Linked DNA regions of Xenopus tropicalis. The protein of the gene in region 1 interacts with the protein of each later gene in a biochemical or structural test. Links are inferred from orthologs where the notes say so. Each region holds a gene or a part of one and is shown in the gene's direction. Other genes may lie near its edges.

Region 1 (3,831 bases):
TGAGCAAGCAGATCACTGTAATTTGGCTGGCAAAGATGTGTGGTTGAATCATACATTATCCACCAACATAAGCCCATGCCTTGCTACCCTAAGGGTACCCTAAGTGCTTTTCATTGCAGTTGTTACGCTTTAGAAAACCAGCATTGCCCTTTGGAAAAAATTAGTCAATGATGTGCTACCTAAACAAAAATTGGTCTACATTTTCAGAAGCTGTCCAGCCAAGTTTAACGCAGTGTGGGACACCTGGTTAAATGCACAATCTTAATAAATCCGCCAGGCTCGCTTAAGCTCTATATACCTTCTCCTCCTTCCTTCTTTCCTTCTTTCTTCCTCTAAACTGTTATTTTTGTTCTTAAAATGTTAAAACCTTAAATAAAAACTAATAAAAAAAAAAGAAAACCAGCATTAAAAAGTTGGAAATTGGCATGGGTTGCTTCCCACTGACAACAGCCACAATTATAAAGCAGACAGTAATTATTATAAGGCTCCTTACAGCACTCTGCAAACCCTGCATGTAAGTTGGCAAACTGTATGAGCTTTGCTTTTGGCAAGGCACAGGTTTGCAGAATTTTGTACAGGTATACTGTAATAATGTTGCTAGCAGGAATTGCCACTTGCTTCTATTGGGTGCTTGCAATCAGGTCCGAACTTGGATTTAAAATAGGCCCAGGCACAGAGGCCCAAACAGCCCCCCACCAGCCTAATAAATAGTGTCTGTCTATGGCATTTTATAGCAGCCCCTCTGGCATTTGCCAGAATCCACAGAATGCCAGTCCAGGCCTGCTTGCAACAATATGTGTTTCCTAGCCTGGTTATAGTCACATTTTTGGGTTTTTTTATAACCCATACCTCTACCCAGTGTTTGCTGCCAAGAAACTAAAACTTTTTCTGCACTTGACTTGAAACCTGATCAATGATGCACACACACTGTAGGAACACCTTAATAAATTAGCCCTGTTTATTTTTGCTATAATTTATTGATTTACTATCATCAATAATCTTTTAATGAACCATACCGATGCTTTAAAAAAAAAAAAAAAATTGCAACTTCTATTTAACAATCCCAGCACAGAAAATAATGTTCTAAATTTTCCCCCATATGGACTATGCAAACCATGGTAAATAGTGTCAAATTTACCTGCCGTGCAGTTACAATTTAAATGCATGGGGCATCAAATGTGTAAAAGAAGCCATGGAAATTTCACACAGGGATTTTCCGTCAGTGAGAAGCAGCCACGTCTTGCTTAGGCAGTATATTTCACGTATATTTCTGTGGGAGGCGTTGACAAGTGTAGAGGGGGCATTATGACTGCTGCTGTTTTCCACCTGAGGGCAATGGTAGTCAAAACTCCCCATGTGCTATTAGACTAAATGCTATAATGCTTTTCAGCATAATCACTCACTCATGAAGGTCTGCAAATGAGTTCTGGTGACAGGTAAGTTGTATGCGCGTAACAACCAGCCATTGCCAGCCTCCAGGGACACTGACCCATGCTGGCCTTCCTACCACCCCTTCTGTAATTGGCGAGAAGTATTTTATGGCATTAAACTGTAAATGGCTTCATTTGCCTGATAGTCAAATGGGAGACACCCAGGCTGATCCAAATTGCTAATTTAAAAGAACTAACATGTTAGGATATACCAGAGCTCATGACCTTTAATGTCTTTTACATTTCGTTTTCTGTTTGTAAACAAATGGTAACAGTAAATGTTTCTGATGAATTTTAGTCTCTTCGTTCTCCACATATTTTTCACTTAACAGTTATTTTCTTTTTCGTTTAGGACAGTGATGGTGAAAAAAGTGATGACAACCTGGTGGTGGATGTTTCCAATGAGGTGCGTTTTCTTTCTAGTGCCTTCTAGTAACTTCGCTGGACATTCTTAAGATACAATTGCATAACCACACAATTTCTTGTTTTAAGGACCCTTCGTCTCCCAGAGGAAGCCCAGCGCATTCTCCGCGGGAAAATGGCTTGGATAAACCACGCCTTTTAAAGAAAGATGCCCCCATCAGTCCAGCCTCCATTGCCTCATCCAGTAGTACCCCTTCTTCAAAATCCAAAGAACTCAGCCTTGTAAGAAAATCTGGCTCAAACATAGAACTGTGTAAAGGAATACTGTCATGTGAAAACATGTTCTTTATTTCCCGGGGTGCTACAGCCACGTGGCCTGTGCTCTAATAAACTTCATTCACACTTAATTGCTGATCTGCAAGTTGGAGTGTTATAACCCCCCTCCCAGCAGCCGATCAGCAGAACAATGGGAAAGTAGCACGATAGCAGCTCCCAGTAGATATCAGAATAACACCAATAGTGGCAGTGGCACGAAACCCCCCATGTGTCACAGCCGTTAGGGGTCTATAGCTATTGTTTGTATTCTCTATAGGTCTATGACAAAATCAGTAGTACTCAGTGGTTTGCAAGCTAACCTAAACATGTATATTTATGAAAATACTAAATTTTATAGCACACTGGTTGCTTTTTAACCAGCTGAAATAAAGTTTAAAATCACCACCTTCTGTTGACTGGAATAGGAAGTGCCTGAGAGTTTTGGTGCTTTTCAGGCCAAACCCACTTACTGACATAAAGAACTAATTGTAATTAGCAGTTGGGCAGTTTTCATGTTCTGTAAGTAAACTACACTTAATAGGTGAATTTATGCATTCATACTCCTCTAGCAACCCAGTCACAATCATACACACCCTTGTTATTAATAGATGTTTGAAAGATCTGATTATAAAAGCACATATGTAATGACACTTCCATTAGGGTTGTTGACTTATGCTGGGTGAGTGTTTGAGGTTTTCAGTCATGTAAGCCAAAGCGTCAATAAACTGTTTACTTTTGGGAGGATCCAGAGTATTTAACATGTTGGTCTATTCCACCTTTTTGTTAGTGACAGTCTAATGCTAATGGCATTATTGTATATTTTATGTTATGTAAAGACAAGCCATTCTTGTTACAACTCAAGGTTAGTTTCTAGATTTGCAAGTTTTTTTTACGTGTGCTTTTTATTTGTCTTTTATTTTGACCCTGAAGAATGAGAAGTCCACGACTCCTGTTTCAAAATCAAACACTCCCACTCCACGAACTGATGCTCCTACACCTGGCAGCAACTCATCTGGATTGCGACCTGTTCCTGGCAAGCCACCAGGTGTTGATCCATTAAGTAAGATATTATTTATTTGACCTCTATATGTGTAGATCTGTGTTGGACAAGGGACAAACTTGGAGGCTTGGGATATTTCATAAAAAATGCACACTAAATATCTCCAGCCCCCTAGAGTTTTTTTTCTTTTTATAAACCTGAGAATACTAGTACCATAAAGAGCAAGAAAAAAGTTGGAGCCTGCAGCACCATAGTTTAATGGGCCTTATGCAGATGCAACTTTATTTCTGAGTTGTGATTTGTATTCCACTGCTCATTGTCTATATGTTGTTCGAATAGCTATAGCTGATCTAGTTAATTTTACAAAAACTAATTTGGAATATGGTGCTTAAGGTTTTTGTTTTTGTTTTGTTTTTTTTTTTACAGTTTAATCAGTGATTTGTGTTTTATGACATGTTCTTATGTCTTTAAGCAGCAGGTCTTAGGACACCGATGGCTGTTCCATGCCCTTATCCAACCCCATTTGGGATCGTACCACATGCTGGGATGAATGGGGATTTGACCAGTCCAGGGCCTGCTTATGCCAGTCTTCATAACATCTCCCCACAAATGAGTGCAGCGGCCGCTGCAGCTGCAGCAGCTGCTGCTTATGGAAGATCCCCAGTGGTAAGAATTCTACTTTAATACTTTATTGCTCTGTGCACAGTTTTGTTCTTTTTTTTT
Region 2 (3,831 bases), about 24 Mb from region 1:
AGGATAATTAAAGGCTGTGTTTTCTACAGTAAGCTCATGCCAATAGAGAATCTAAACAAGTTGGTATTAAGATAAAAATATGACATTAGAACTATTTATTGCAGAACAAATACTCTGTGAAAAAGCATTTGCTATGACAGATCTAATTCTTTCTTGCAGTAATAAGACCAGCCTTCACAACTACTGGTACTTTGAGGTTAATGATCATAGAATCTCATTAGCTGATCATTATAGCTCTGGATCCATATTACACATAAAAATAATACTTTATTACAGTTCTTCTTTGCATTTTCCTAAATGTGTCTATGTTTCAGGCTTTAAAAGCAGCAGCCAATAAAAAGGATCTTAAAGGGAAATTGAAGAGTAAAAAACAAAATTACCATTATAAAATTAAAATGTATGCTGAGTATTCCAAGATATCTGTTTCCACTCTGTATGGTCGAACCGTTCATTAACTATTCTATTTATTTTTATTGGGTTTTTAGAAGCATATGTATCAATGGGTGGAAGCTAGAGTTCCCCATCTGATAAATATGCTGCTAAAAATTCAATAGAAATTAATAGAAAGAGACTGACTTTTTCAGTGTTGAGCACTAATCGCACATTTTGATAAATCTGTCCCTTTGATGATAGGAAGGGTGGTGCCCCTTCCTATTCTCTAAGGGACAGATTTATCAGAAAACCCAAAGGAAGTTGCAGAATCAGCTTATAGACCCAAATGTTTATTCAGACCAGTTATGCTCCTTGTTTAGTAACTAATCTCAGCGGTAGAATGAAATGGTACATTAGTAAAGGGTAACATGAAAACCCACCCCAATGAAACTGGTACCCATTTCACGACTAGACTCACAAGTTAAGAATCCCTGATTGACTTTATACTTTTGCACAATAAAGATATATGAAACCTGGGTAATATTTTTATGTAGCACAGAAGCTCCAATCATTTTGTGAGGTCAACTGGTCAAACAATAAGATTTCTCTTAGAAATATTGCTTTTGTATAGTAAAATAACCTTATAGTGGGAAAGCAGGAGAGCCACTTGACTTCTAGAATTGTTATGATTTCCATAGTAAAACTGTTTTCATTTGATTTATTTGTATTTATTTACATGTTTATTTATAGAGTGCTACAATGGACATGGAGCTTTATTTTTTACAAATAGAACAAATACAGCACAAATATTGTAATATAAAAATAAGTATTTATTTATATACAGCAATAAATATACACAATGGCAAAGATCAAGTGGCACATGATAGGAGGAAGGAAGCCCCTGCTCCATACTGGAGTGGATTAATGACAGGTACAAACAGGAGTAATAAGTTATGTTGTTTGCAATGGCTGTGCTAAGATATGACTGGACATAGTGCTAGTGCCTCAAGAGGTAGGATCTTTATGCTAAAGAAGGAGACTGGTCATTGCATGTTTAATAAAAATTTGTAATGCATTTTCTTATATAAAATTTCTATCGCCAAGGAGAATCATAACTGCTAATTTAGTCCTATGGGCTGTGATTATTTGTGAACCAAAAACAACTCTTTACAATGTTGATTACATATACTTTAATAAGTACAGGTTTTAATAAGTACCTGTGTCTATAGTTTCACAATATGGTGTTTACTACATGCGTTTAATGATTTGGGCTTATATCGTTGTGTATCTTGCCAATATAGAAAAGACCATATAGATCATTAAACAGTGGCACAGATTTGTGTAGGAATATCAGCAAATTTTGTATCAGTATGGTATCTTATGGCAACCAACCAGCATGTCTAATATCTTAAGAATAATGAACGCAAACATATGATTGGTTGTGTGGGTTACTGGGCTGGTTCAAATTGTGTCCAAATTACTATATACAGTACTAACGTGCTTTGTTTTGAATTAGTTAGTAGCATTGTAGGGCTTTACTGAACAACATACAAGGTATGCTGCCACATATATTGTAGAAACTTTTCTTTTGATGACAATGTCTTATCAAGACCAATTTTTCCTTTACCAAAACATTTTACCCTGTGTTTTTTCAAGAGAACTAGTATCATGGAAAGAATGAAAGATGACGTGAAAAATATTGGTGCCATTGTGCAAAATAAAAGACATTTCTATCAGGATTTCATTCTAAAGGACAATTTTGCCAAACGGCACCATCAATAATAAAACCTTTTCAAGCAGGAGCATTTTGCCAGTAACTGCAATTCACTGTCAGAGTGTTCGCTGTAAAATGGTTCTAAGTGTGATTTGTTTTCCTATAGCACTCTTGATTAATCACACACATTCTCTGGTGATATTAGATCCTAGCTTATCCCTTAATCATATATTGTTTTTATTCTTATGCTATGAAGAAATTATATTGAATGTCGTACTGCAATTTCTGATAATGCAAGGAAATTTATCAAGGTGACATTATGTGCAACACTCAGATTCCATTGAACCAGAATTTTAAATGCCTTTTAACTGACTATATATTTACACAGAAAAATAATAGGTGAAATTGAAGAAAGACATTGATCCATAAAGTTTAACCTTTTGCTTAAATAATTCCTACCTAACTTCTAAATGACTCATTTCACTATAATAGACTCTGGTTATTCCTGTGGGACTCCTTGCTATGCACATTTTCACTGCTTTCTTTCTTTTTTTTGACTTAGCAATAATAACCTTGTAAATATGCTGTCAATTTTATTTGAACAGGTACTATGAAACTGGAAGTATAAAGCCTGGTGTGATTGGAGGATCAAAGCCAAAGGTTGCAACACCCAAAGTTGTAGAAAAAATTGCTGAGTACAAGCGTCAAAATCCCACCATGTTTGCATGGGAGATTAGGGACAGATTATTAGCAGAACGGGTGTGTGACAATGATACAGTTCCCAGCGTCAGCTCCATAAACAGGTAAGAAACCAAAACCATCGAAACCATTTCTATTTCTATTTCATTATTGTACTAATAATCCATTCCTAGCTTCACCATGCCATTAAATGGAGTATACTTACTTTTGACTTTACTCTCTTTTTCTTGTGTTAACCAACAAGTGTATTGTTGTGTAGATAAAATAGTGATTTTAATAAGAAAATTATTAAAAGTTATAAAAATCACAGAATCTCTTATCTCTTCTTATTTGTCAAATCATTAGCAAATGTATAGATGAAAAAGTATTGATAAGATGTTTTAAATAGTACTGCAAGTCAGTGACAATGTAGGAATTTGGTAGGAAGTCCAGCACCAGTGTGGGATTGGCCTGCTGGAATACCAGAGGATATCCTGGTGGGCCCAGCCATGGACAGTTATCCTAAGCCCTTACTTATTTCCATTGTAGGTCTTGAGGTCAGGTTCTGTGGTGGCCCAGTCTGACTTGGTCCAGTGGCAGTAGATTATCTTTCCTAAATGCAAGAATAAGAAAATGAATATGTGGGGGAGGTCATTATTGACTACTAGTCTGTATACATTAGGAACAGTAGGCTATAAAGTCATGTCTGTGACCCACATATATTGAGACATTTGGAGGGTGCCAGAGAGCAAGAGCTCATAAAAAATAAATATAATGTTGCTGGGGCTACCCAAGATGTTACTCGGTGAGGGACATAAAATAAAAAAAAAAATATTACCCTATAACCTTGAGTATTACACCACCTACGTGTTATTGGGCAATTGGCGGATGACCATACCCTGGCCTTAACCTACCTTAAGTAAAGCTGTATTGATTTAGATGTTTAGATGCTCTTTCTTTGTTTAAATATTCAGATCTGAATAGTCAGCTAATTCTTTATTGAATCCTCTCTGTATAAATGTTATATTATATAATAATATCTTCTAAGTCAGTGTGTTTTCCACTGT

What was found.
Region 2: the proteins of tle4 (region 1) and pax5 form a complex in vitro, tested with the Homo sapiens proteins (2 studies listed by BioGRID). The link is inferred for Xenopus tropicalis from reciprocal best matches to the Homo sapiens genes TLE4 and PAX5.

The regions. Positions count from the first base shown.
Region 1 is NC_030677.2:133,087,034-133,090,864, forward strand, and holds part of tle4 (transducin-like enhancer protein 4), read left to right. Parts: intron 1-1,782; coding exon 1,783-1,836; intron 1,837-1,922; coding exon 1,923-2,075; intron 2,076-3,038; coding exon 3,039-3,168; intron 3,169-3,580; coding exon of another isoform or gene 3,581-3,583; coding exon 3,584-3,774; intron 3,775-3,831. UniProt on the Homo sapiens protein: Transcriptional corepressor that binds to a number of transcription factors. Inhibits the transcriptional activation mediated by PAX5, and by CTNNB1 and TCF family members in Wnt signaling.
Region 2 is NC_030677.2:109,348,334-109,352,164, forward strand, and holds part of pax5 (paired box protein Pax-5), read left to right. Parts: intron 1-2,691; coding exon 2,692-2,889; intron 2,890-3,831. UniProt on the Homo sapiens protein: Transcription factor that plays an essential role in commitment of lymphoid progenitors to the B-lymphocyte lineage. Fulfills a dual role by repressing B-lineage inappropriate genes and simultaneously activating B-lineage-specific genes.